2 linked regions of the Schizosaccharomyces pombe genome follow. The gene in region 1 interacts genetically with each later gene. Each region holds a gene or a part of one and is shown on either strand. Other genes may lie near its edges.

The links.
Region 2: mutations in nhp2 (region 1) and SPOM_SPAC11D3.15 together harm fitness more than expected from each alone (negative genetic interaction), as found in Schizosaccharomyces pombe (one large-scale study listed by BioGRID).

The regions. Positions count from the first base shown.
Region 1 is NC_003424.3:4,771,502-4,776,281, reverse strand, and holds nhp2 (box H/ACA snoRNP complex subunit Nhp2), read left to right. Parts: upstream 1-3,114; 5' UTR 3,115-3,135; coding exon 3,136-3,600; 3' UTR 3,601-4,280; downstream 4,281-4,780. Other genes in the region: sst6 (ESCRT I complex subunit Vps23), read right to left, coding at 1-348, 388-444; SPOM_SPAC1782.12C (uncharacterized protein), read left to right, coding at 1,088-1,118, 1,215-1,291, 1,348-1,596; met14 (adenylyl-sulfate kinase), read right to left, coding at 1,776-1,915, 2,022-2,490; Cdc14 family protein phosphatase Clp1, read left to right, coding at 4,623-4,671, 4,727-4,780. UniProt on the Schizosaccharomyces pombe protein: Non-catalytic component of the H/ACA small nucleolar ribonucleoprotein (H/ACA snoRNP), which catalyzes pseudouridylation of rRNA and is required for ribosome biogenesis.
Region 2 is NC_003424.3:133,365-141,227, reverse strand, and holds SPOM_SPAC11D3.15 (ATP-hydrolizing 5-oxoprolinase), read right to left. Parts: upstream 4,984-7,863; 5' UTR 4,898-4,983; coding exon 944-4,897; 3' UTR 863-943; downstream 1-862. Other genes in the region: SPOM_SPAC11D3.16C (uncharacterized protein), read left to right, coding at 28-423; SPOM_SPAC11D3.14C (oxoprolinase), read left to right, coding at 6,127-7,863.

The DNA.
Region 1 (4,780 bases):
GTCTTGCTTTATTAGAGCTTGAACTAAACGATAGATATTAAAAACAGACCGTTCATTTTTCCAAAGTTGTAGTAGAAGACTTGTGTACTTATGCTTTCCTCCTTTTTCATCCAATAATTGTACTATTGGCGGCTGTGATGGATAATAAGAGCGAACCGTTATACAAGCCGAGGTTAAAATTGTTTTGTCAAATGCTGGAGTACTCAAATAAATGCGGACCTCTTCTATTTTGTTTTCGTCTTGCGTATCTACTTCAATATTAATTGCTTGAAGTGTAAACGTGTCTTCACATTGTTTTCTAAACAATAATTCTAGTTCTTCAGCAAGTCCATTCTTCCAAAATCTAATCTATTTTTCAGGTTAAATTGGTAAAAAAACAAGCGGTACCTTTTCAATTGTATTCAAAATTCGTGAAGGGTGTTCATTGATTGCATGATCTGACATGGTAAAAAGAAACGAGGCGCACTTATGCAAGCACGTGATTAAATCTTATAGGATTTAAAGAAATCAAATAAAGTTAGCTGGTTTTCGAAAACCTATTAATTGCAAGCACCACTTGTGAAATTGATTTTGAACAGATGGTCGTTTTCTTTACGCATTTTATCGTTGTAATAAATAACGTCAATGCTGCATCTCTTTTTTAAATAAACTGTATAATATTACAATATATCGTTATATCAAGCGATAAAACAGGTAACGATACTCAAGATTATTTTCAATTGATGCCATATTAACATTAACGCCAAGTTTATTTTAAGTGCTACATACTCAATTTCTGAAATTGACGATCTGATAGTATATAATATTAGGATATGAATTTATAGACTGATAGGAGCAGTTATGAAAAATTCACAAAGTACCAATACGCTCAGATTTCTTATTCAATATTTTGGAAATGTGTCGTATCCATAAATATAAACTAAGGTAGCAACTATAATTGAGGATCATTGTTCTCACATACGTATTCCACTTCTCTTTTAACACCAGCAATACTACAATTGCAAGACTATTGAAAGGTTAATTACGGCAATAAACCGAGCAGTTTGCATTTTTATTGAAAGAATTATCTGATATTTGTTTATCAATAATGACAATTTGGAACGTAGCTGCATTGACAGGTAGGTTCTAGCACAAGTAATAGACTGGTATATAACCTTTATATACATTTACTTTTTGTTAAACAACCTATTTTACGTTATCTAACAATAAAAAAGGACTGCTCAGCGTAGGTTTAGGTGCATATGGATCTCACGGGTTGCAAAAACGTGTTCAGGATCCACATTTATTGAAGGTAGGATTTATGCATTTTTATTTCATGATTGTAACTATTTTAACATAAAATTATAGTCATGGTCCACTGCTTGTACTTACTTGATGTTCCATTCATTGGCAACCATGGCCGTTTCTTTGCATCCAGTTTACGGGAAATCTCGTTGGACGGGACCCCTGCTGATTACAGGAAGCTGCTTGTTTTCTGGGACAATTTATGGACTTTGTTTATTGCCTAAAGGACATAGTCTGCGACGAATTCTTGGGCCCTTGACACCAATTGGAGGACTAGTGATGCTTACAGGGTGGGCTACAATGCTAGTTTAAGAGAGCTTTAATTTAGATGCTTTTTGTTTTACCAGTACAGACGCAAGTATTAATGATGTCGTTTCTAAAATACTAGCAGATAAAGAATATGTTATGATTTTATTGGGTCCCAAGTAAGCGAACAAAAAAGAGAGAAAGGATATAAGGGGAATACAAGTATTTAAGATGAGTTAACGTGTTTACTTCAAAGTAATCAAATCCTTTTCCAACAAGTAATTGACGATTTTTTCAACACACTCTTCAATCGATTGAGTATGAGAAGAAACCACGATTTCAGGAGAAATGGGAGCCTCATAGGGAGCAGAAATTCCTGTAAATTCTAAAACCGGTTAGCCTTAATTTTATAGGGTCATCTATTTAAAAACATTGAGAAAATGGAATTTCCTGAGGGGAAAAAGTATCTTTAATGTGTAACAATTACCTACCTTTAATCTCACCAGCACGAGCACGCTTGTACAAACCCTTTGGATCACGCTGCTCGGCAACTTCCACTGGACATTCAACATAAACCTCAATAAAAGGAAGTCCATCTTTTTTATGAAATTCGCGTGCTTGATCACGATCCTTGCGATAAGGAGAAATGAAGGAAGTTACTGCAACTACACAGGCATCTGCGAAAAGCTTGGCAACATGACCTATGCGACGAATGTTTTCGTTACGATCTTGTTCACTAAATCCAAGATCACTGTTTAAGCCGAAACGAACATTATCACCATCCAAACGGTAAGTTGTAACTCCACGCTGAAGTAAATACTGTTCCAAAGCACAAGCGATTGTAGACTTTCCAGACGCAGATAATCCAGTCATCCAAATGGTCATACCAGGATGACCCACAAATTTGATACGTTCTTCTTTAGTGACGGAACCAGGGTGAAATGTAATGTTAGTAGCCATCGTAAACAAAAATGTGAAAATCCAATCTTCTAATTAATTGTTGGAAAAATCAAATGGTACGAATTTGAAAAATATTTTACAACTGTTACTGCACAAAATCTAACGAATTCAATTTGATGATTAACGCTATTAGTTACAATTACTAGGTCACAATTTGAAAGCATTCGGAACAGTCACAATCTTTTATTTTTTAGCAATTGCGCAATTACGCCTATCCGTTAGCGTCTCGTTAGGAGTCGTAAAGTCACCTCGGTAGGAATTAAGAATAACGTAACGAAAATTTCCCTTTAGCTTAAACCATGAGCGCTTAGTTCATTTAGTTGATTTGGCCTTTTTAAGTGCTGTTTCGGTTGTCTAAATAAATACAAATGATTATATAATCTTAGGACTAGTCAGGGAGTTTAAAATAGTATCTTTAAGTAGGGAAGACAGCAACATCTATTTACAGTAAATTTTTCCAATACTCCGTTCGTGGAATAGTAGGCATTATGTCAATTTAAGGAATATTACCAAAGCTGGTATCTTAAAATTACGTATTATACAGATGGCTTAACAGACTATTATCCGCTACATAGCGTTACTGAAAAAAGTTTTATTGGGATCATCTTTTGGGCTTCCAAACTTATCCTTCTCCATTTCTTTATCATGGCAAAAGATAAAAAAGACCATAAGCATAGTGGAAGCACCGAAGATGAGTATGATTCATATCTTCCTGCTTTAATGCCAATTGCTAAGCCTTTAGCTCCTAAAAAATTGAACAAAAAAATGATGAAGACTGTCAAGAAGGCTTCGAAGCAGAAACACATCCTTCGTGGGGTCAAAGAGGTTGTAAAGGCTGTTAGAAAAGGAGAGAAGGGTCTTGTAATTCTTGCTGGTGATATTTCTCCCATGGATGTTATATCTCATATTCCAGTATTATGTGAAGACAATAATGTCCCTTACTTATATACTGTTTCCAAAGAGTTGCTTGGTGAAGCATCAAACACCAAGAGACCTACTAGCTGTGTTATGATTGTTCCCGGTGGAAAAAAGAAGGACATGTCTAAAGTTGAGGAGTACAAGGAAAGCTACGAGGAAATTATAAAAGAAGTACCTGCTCTTGAAGTTTAATTGTTCAATATCTAAAAGATGCTTAGCCATTTAATGTAGATTATTATATACTATTAAAATTTGGTATTTATCCTGGGATTTAACTTTTGGTATATCATGTCTGTTTGCTTGATAGTAAGCGAAAAGAAGTTTTGCTTAATGGTCGGTTTTAAGGTTTCAAAAAATTTCCTTTTTAATCTAGTGTTTTATCATTCTTTCTTATGCCCTAGTATTTTATGGGTTTAGACTGGTTTGCGAGCAAACTAATCACTATACCTCCAAAACTTTGTTAGCAATAATATCGTATCATTTACCAACTTATATGAGAATGGTATATCGCTGTAACAGCGATGAAATATCAACTGATTTTTCCTCAAATTTCGTTTACGCTGATCGTTTCATTACGGATTTAGCCTGTGTTTATTTCTAACTAGTTGCGCAAAAAAGTTTTATTATTCGTTTAGGTTGCTATTTAGTATTCAGAGGCGGCGTGTTAGAACCAGTTTACAACTAACTTAAATTTCACCCAACGTCGTTCTTACCATTATAATGTTTACAAATATTATGCTTTCCAGTGCTATCCATAAATGATAGATTAGGGTAGCTTTAAAGGTCCGGCAATTATATGGTTATCTATCCGGATTTTGTTATCGGATTTAAATATATTTGCTAAAACAAATCGAATTTCAGATAAAAAAGTTGGGTTGTATTTGTATGAGCAAAAAGTATTCTGTATGTTTATCATAAATTGATGTGCATTTTTACTTACTTTGTAAGATAATGATTATTGTTGTTTATTTACTATAGTGTTGCTAAAAGTTAATGTCTTTTTTTTTTTAATAAAGAGAAAAGATTAAATGTCAACATAACGTTGTGTATAGTTTAGAATCCACTTTTGTCTTCATTTGTTTCGCACCCCACATATTTTCTTGTGCATTATCATCCCTTCTATTTACAAGGACCACCAACACCCAGGTACACAATTTAGAACTCAACCATTACGGGTTTGACGAATATAGACGAGATTCGCAATTACTTGTCTGATGGATTACCAAGATGATGGGCTTGGTGAAATGATTGAGTTTTTGGAGGGTATGCATGAAGTTTAACTCAAATATCTCGTAAAATTGATTAACATGTTAAATAGACAAGTTATACTACACATCATTGTCGCAACCACCTAAAGCCGAGTTATATCCTC
Region 2 (7,863 bases), 4.6 Mb from region 1:
ACCAACTTTAATCCAAATAACGCTTTTATGACTACTTTGAAGGTTGACGAGGATTTGGAATGTGCGCTCATGGAGCAATTCATCGAGGCTCTTCACCAAAGGTGTACTGATATTCCACGCACTCAGTTGTGTGTGCTTGCGATTAGCTTTAATCGCTTCATTCTCCATAAGTCTCCCGACATTTTCACATATATTCAATACTACCAACAAAAGCTGAATTCATATGGGTTTCCACTTCCACCTGTAGTTTTGAAATCGTTACAAATGCCTTTAACGTCTCCGGAACCCGATGCTGATGAAAGGTTTAGAGACGGTGATACTGAGTTTGATACTGCCGGTGTTACTGCTTCTTCTTGCTTTCCTGTGGATGTTAAATCTCCATCTGTGAGAGCTTTCGGAAATGTAACATTCCAATCAGATTGAATTGCTGAAATGAAAGGTTTCTCTTACGTTCCAGTTCGCTTTCTTTTAAGTGATTGCCTTCGTAGGATTGCTTCTTTTTTTTTCGAGCGCAGATGATTTTACCCTTTTTTTCCCAACTTTACTCTTTTTTGTTAGAGTTGTTGAAAGCTCATCCTATTCCTCGCATGCATCCTAATTTTTATGTTCTTAATGCTTTAGCAGTCCATTCCAGTTTTTTTTTTCCTATTACATTAAATATTTACTCATTTATTTTTATATTTCACTATTTCACAAATTTTGGAAACGCGTTCATATATCCTATCTTAATCTATACGGCTTTTTAATTACAATTATATACATTTTCTACAAATGATTTAGTATTCAAGAATATTATATATTATTGAACTTTATCCTGTTGTTGTCACCAACACTTGTAGTATATTCGACAACTATATACAAATATTTTTAAAAACTTTGTTATTAGTAAGAAATTAAGATGTAAAAGACAAACTATTTATATTACCATTAATAAATTATCTAACTAATTCGTGTGCTGTATTTCCTGTAATTGTGAGATGGTGCCATTAGCCCTGAAATGCTGGACACCATTAGCTTTCTTGACAGTATCTACTCGTTCAGAAGGGGGTCCATATCCACCACCGCCAGGTGTCATAATAACAATATGGTCACCAGCTTGCATATGGCATGTGTTTTTACCGCCAACGTTGATTTGTCGAACTCGTTGCTCTCCTGAAGGTAAGATATCCTTTCGAATCCAAATGTTTTTACCGCATTCGGCATCTTTACCTCCTTTCATACCGTATGGATGATAGGCACGACGCTCTGAAAGTATGGAAAGGGTAACTGGAATTCTGAATTCAATATCGCGAATAACACCATCACCACCTTTGTACTTTCCTGCGCCGCCAGAATTTTCACGAATGATAAACTTTCTCAAAATGACAGGGTATCTTCTTTCAAGTACCTCCAAATCAGTAATTCGGGTGTTAGTCATATGAGTATGAACACCAGAAGTTCCGTCTAATCCATCAATTGCACCAGATCCACCGCAAATAGTCTCATAGTATCCAAATCCTGGTTTCACTTCACCGGTCTCTGGATCTTTACCGCCAATTCCAAATGTCAAATTGTTTGTGTCACCCTGACTAGCTGCACATGCTTGGAATGCCTTGAGAATAGTATCAGTGATTCTTTGCGACGTTAGCACATTTCCACCTACTACAGCAGCTGTTTCAGAGGGTTTCAAAAAGCAGTTATCAGGAATGATAACTTTAATTGGAAGCAGACATCCTTGATTAAGTGGGATATTTTCAGATATCAAAACACGTAAACAATAAATGATGGCGCTATAAGTTACTGCCTCCGGGGCGTTAATATTTCCATAGATTTCTTCAGTTGTACCAGTAAAATCAAATATGGCATCGCCGTTTTCTTCATCAATAGTGATGCGTAAGCATATCTTTGACCCATCGTCCATATGATCCTCAGCGTATAAATCCTCACCTAAAAATCTTTCACGTACTCCAAGCAATAATTGTCTAACGGCGCTTTCCGCATTTTCTTGAATTGCCTTCATATAACGTAAAACAGAATTTTTTCCGTACTCCTTGATTAAAGATGTAATTAAATTGATTCCCTTTTGGTTTGCGGAAACTTGAGCCTTCAAATCATTTAGGTTATCGCGAAGACAGCGACTGCCTGAACCACCCTCCACTTTTGCCGGTTCATTGTAGAGTAAATCAATCATGCGTTCTTCCTGAAAAACTCCATCAACCACAAGTTTTTCGCTCTTAATAGTTGCTCCTTCTTCAGAAAGCTCTTTACTAGAAGAAGGCATGCTACCAGGTAGAATACCACCGATGTCAGCGTGATGGGCACGCGCAGCAACGTAAAACATGATCTCGTCCCCTTCGAAATGAGGAGTAATAGTAGTGATATCAGGCAAATGAGTACCACCATATGATGGATGATTGGTAACAAGAACATCACCAGGTTTTAGTTTCCCTTCGTGAATTTTTGCTTGTGTGCGGACACAAGTAGACATAGAACCTAGATGAACCGGCATATGAGGTGCGTTAGCTACAAGATTTCCTTTCGCATCGAATAGTGCACACGAATAATCAAGACGCTCTTTAACATTAGTGGAGACACTCGTTTTCTGAAGAGCCCTTCCCATTTGTTCAGCTACAGCCATAAACCGAGATCCAAATACAGAAAGGTAAATAGGATCAATTGTACTTGCTTTAGCGAGAGAATCGTTTGCCGTATATTCATTTCCATGAGAAATGTCAATTACAACGTGTGTATGCAAAATTCTAGCAACAGCTTTGGGAGGAACAACAATGGTTTGCGTTTTGTCGACTATCAAAGAAGGGCCATTCACTATTGTTCCAACAGGCAAGTTATCTAGGCTATAAACTTCAGAAGGGACACGTCCACCTTCGAAATAAATGTCCTTGACACATGTTGCTAGGCTCTTTTGAACAGGTTCGAACTTCAATTCTTTTAATTGAGCATCTACACTGGGCTCTTTGCTCTGGAAACTTTTTCCGGAAGCACGAATTCTGATATCATCAATAATTATATCTTTATTTTCAAAAATAAAACCGAACTCCTGCTTATGTTTATCAAAAAATGATTGCTTGAAATCCCAAGACTCAAGAGGCTTGCTAATCATCAAAGTGCTGTCAGTTCCTTGATACCGACAATTCAAAAATAACTCATAGCTAATTTGGCTTTCGGTAAATCCCTGCTCCTCAAGGTTAGCTTTCGCTTCTTCTTTAAGGCTATCAAAACGCTTCTTAATAGATTCAGTATTTGAGTCATCCAGAGTAAAGGAGGAAGGCTCTTGAACTTCAGACACGACATCAGCTAGTGCCATTCCATAAGCTGAAAGAATTGAACTATACTTGTGAACTAAAACCTGGGTAATACCGAGAGATTTGGCAATAGCTGCACAGTGTTGTCCACCAGCACCACCAAAAGAAGTCAAACGATGAATGGAGATATCGTGTCCTTTAGCTTCAGTAAGGGCGCGAATTGGGCGAGCCATAGTTTCGTTCGCTATCTTAATGAAGCCAAAAGCAACTTCATCGGCAGTCATTTGACGTTCTTTCTCAAGGCCAGAATTGATCTCAGCAGTCAATTTTTCAAACTCCTTTCTCGTCGACTCGACGTCTAGTGATTCATCCTCATTAGGACCAAAAATTTTAGGGAAAGACTCAGGTAAAAGTCTTCCTAACAGTAAATTTGCATCTGTAACAGTCAAGTACCCTCCCTTGCGATAGCATACTGGGCCAGGATGTGCACCAGCACTTTCTGGTCCAACAACAAAAAGGCCATTTTTCCAAAAAAGACGTGATCCACCGCCAGCGGCTACCGTATTTATATCTAATTGAGGAGATTGAATAGTAACTCCTGCCGTTGTCGTTTCAAAGACATGTTCATATGAACCACCATACCGAGAAACATCCGTAGATGTACCTCCCATATCGAATCCGATGACAGGAATTTTAACGTCCTCGTCATATGAGGTAAGTGCAAAACCTACGACACCGCCAGCAGGACCGGAGAGAATGGCATGTAAGCCTGAAAACTTATTAACGTCAACCAAACCACCGTCACTCTGCATGAACTCACAACGCACACCCTTTGAATTATCCTTTGTCTTTAAACCATGAAGGAATCCTGATTGAAACCCGGCAAGGTATCTTCTAACAACTGGAGAAAGGTAAGCATCAGCGGTAGCTGAAGTAGCACGAGGAACATATTTAATCATCGGCATTAATTTAGTTGAAAGACTGATATTGCTGAAACCAACCTCTTCAGCAATTTTACCAACAAGAAGTTCATGATCTGGAAATGTAAAGCTGTGGGCAAGGCAAACGGCGATACTGGTAAATCCTTCATCGTACAATGCTTGCAAATCTTTGCGAAGTGCATCGCAATCTACCTTTTTCATAATACGAACGACTTCACCAGAACGGCCAACTACTAGTGACGGGTCAGAGCCGTCAATTGTGGTTTTGACTTTCATTGGGTCTTCAACATAATCTTCTAGTGTTACACGCTCGTCAACTTCGATAACTTTAGAGTACAATACTTCAGGTCTTCGAATTCCCAACTCGAAAATATTAGGTCTAGATTGGTTGCCAATTAACAGACCATCTTTAAATCCTTTAGTCGTTATAAAAGCGCATCGTTCACCTTTTCGTTCCAATAAAGCATTGGTAGCAACTGTAGTACCACACCGTAAATGATTAATGCAACTGGTATCTAATTTTTCGGTTCGTGGGATCGATTTTCCTTGAACAATCTCTAAAATGCGTCGGACAGCTTCGATAGAAGCGTCCTTATAGTTACTAGGATCCTCTGAAAGTAATTTGATGACAATAGGAGGGCGAGATTCATCAGCAAAAGTGGCGATTGCGTCTGTAAAAGTACCACCTCGATCAATGTGAATTTTGACACTCATTTTTTAAATCCAAAATGTGTATTAAATCTATGTGTATGTATATGTAGGTAGAAAAAGAAAGCAAAAAATAAAAAACAGCACAAGTTAATGAATTAGGCAAGAATGATATCCATATATATACATAAATTATTAAATCATCACAATATTGTGTAGCAAAGATTGCCTCCTTATCAGACTGAAAGTTGGCGGAGCTCCGTATTCATTTGTGGAGTTCGGCGGAGTGGAGGAGCAGTATCGAAGCCTGCTGATATGGTCATGCAATTATTAGAGTATCTGAATTATCGATGAATCATTAAATTGATATTCAACATGCGTCTAATTAGAAAGTTTTGAGCTGGTCAATATGGAAGTATACTACAGAAATCCTACATATTTTATGTATTGGGTATCATTGTTAACAGTTTGCAAAATAAAGATCTTGACAATTAATTATTATAATAAAGCTTTAAAAATTTGCTAATTTGCAACTTTCCTGTCCGTTCCTAAATTGATTATCGATAAAGAATTGTATTTATCGCAATCATAAGTATCTCAACACTTGTAGTCCTAAGTATTTCATGATGTTTAAGATCTGCTGTTTGGCTATTCAAGGACTCCCTATCTACTTGCTTGGTACTATTGATATCGTAGATAGAACCAAATATGCGAAATCAGTAAAATTAATGTCAAAATACACTCTTTACTAGTAAAAATTAATAATTTATTGGTAATGATGTTAATTTAATTTAATTTGCTTGAATTATTATTCATTTTGATCTTTTTTGCGAAATTTATTTCGTAAAATGGTTTGTAAGATTGTTATCTGTTCTTTAGTAGGTACTTTGTGCACATGTTTCTTTAGATTAATTGAACTGTACTTATTATTTCTTGCTTTGATTAGAGTTAACTACAAACTCTCACATGAGGGATGCACTCGTAAATCTTTTTCTTGGGGCAGTTTATTCCACAATGCAAAAATGTACATACACGAATTATTAGTTTGATCGCTTCGGTTAAAAATCTAAATGGAGAGCACTAAATCTTTAAATGATAAGAATCATTCCTTACGACTATGGAATCCCCCATCTTGGTATAATTTTTTGGACGTTCAATGTCTCGGTCAAGGAGGAGCTCGTTTTACTTATCTTGACTGATTGGAACGTTGACTAGAGGTATAAAAGTTCGCAATTAGCATGCTGTAGTTATTCATTCATTCTTTAAGTTAAGAATAACCTTTTAATTTTTTTATAATGAAACAAGATGTGCGAATTGCGATTGATAGGGGTGGAACCTTCACCGATGTTTACTATAAGATATCTGGATGGAGGGAGCAAGAAGGGATTTTCAAGTTGCTTTCTGTAAACCCTAAATTATACGACGATGCTCCAACTGAAGGAATTAGAAGAGTGTTGTGTTATGCGTCCGGCGAAGAAATACCTCGTAAAGTCCCTTTAGACTTGACAAGAGTATCCTCTATACGTATGGGTACAACTGTTGCGACGAATGCTTTGTTAGAACGTAAGGGTGAAAAAACCGCCTTCATAATCACGGAAGGTTTTCGAAATTTGGTAGAAATCGGAAATCAAGCTCGCCCGGACTTATTCGACCTCACAGTATCAAGGCCTTCACCATTATATCAACGTGTCATAGAAGCAAAAGAGAGAGTTGTCTTAGAAAACCAATTCTCAAAGACAGCTGGTATTGTTCAAGGAATTACAGGAGAATTTTTGCGAGTGGAAAAGAAATTGGATGAAGAAGCGTTATATCAAGATCTAAAGGAATTATACAATGAAGGGTTTCGCTCCATTTCTGTCAGTCTTATGCATTCTTATACATATCCTCTTCATGAAGAGGTAGTTGAAAAAATTGCCAAACGTATAGGATTTACAGATATTTCTCTCTCATCAAAACTTACACCAATGGTTAAAATAGTTCCAAGGGCCGTTTCCGCCATTATCGACGCGTATCTTAGTTCTACGTTGAGGTATTATCTTGATTCGTTTAAGAAGAATTTTTACAATGTGAAGCCTAATACTATTCAATTCATGAAAAGCGATGGTGGTCTAGTTGACATAGATAATTTTACTGCTATTAGTGCTATAATGAGCGGTCCTGCTGCAGGTACGGTTGGATTTGCGAAAACATCATCTTTGCATGCTGATGACAAAACGCCAGCCATAGGTTTTGATATGGGGGGCACGTCAACTGATGTTTCTAGATACGATGGTAAATTTGAGCATATATACGAAGCCAATATATTCGGACTATACATTCAGTCCCCTCAATTGGATATTCAGACGGTTGCTGCAGGTGGTGGTTCTCGATTATTTTGGAGAAATCAACTGTTTTCGGTTGGTCCAGAAAGTGCTGGTGCTTTTCCAGGACCGGCTTGTTATCTCAATGGTGGACCTTTAACTGTTACAGATGCAAACGTTTTGTTGGGAAGAATTATTCCTGATTTCTTCCCGAAAATTTTTGGTCCAAAAGAAAACGAGAGTATGAACAAAGACATAGTCATTGAAAAATTTTCTGAATTAAGGGACATCATCAACATTGACATTGAGAAGGAGAAGACAATTGAAGAAATTGCCATGGGATTTATCCAGGTAGCTAATGAAACCATGTGTCGACCAATCCGTAAACTTACCGAATCACGTGGATTGGACCTTTCTGCGCACCATCTTGCTGTTTTTGGAGGCGCTGGTGGCCAACATGCGTGTGCAATTGCATCTTTATTGAACATTGAAAAGATTATTATTCATAAATATTCCTCTGTCCTTTCTGCTTATGGTTTAGCATTAGCTCATGTGACACATGAGGAACAAATGCCTTGTTTATCTGTGTTAGATGAGGATAATTTACCTCTTATACAATCAAAGTTTGATGTGTTAGACAAAAAGGCCGTTTCCTTTTTGGAGAATGAAGGATATCTAGAGTCTCAAATCTCGACCGAATTATTCGCAAATCTGCGATACGAAGGTAACGAT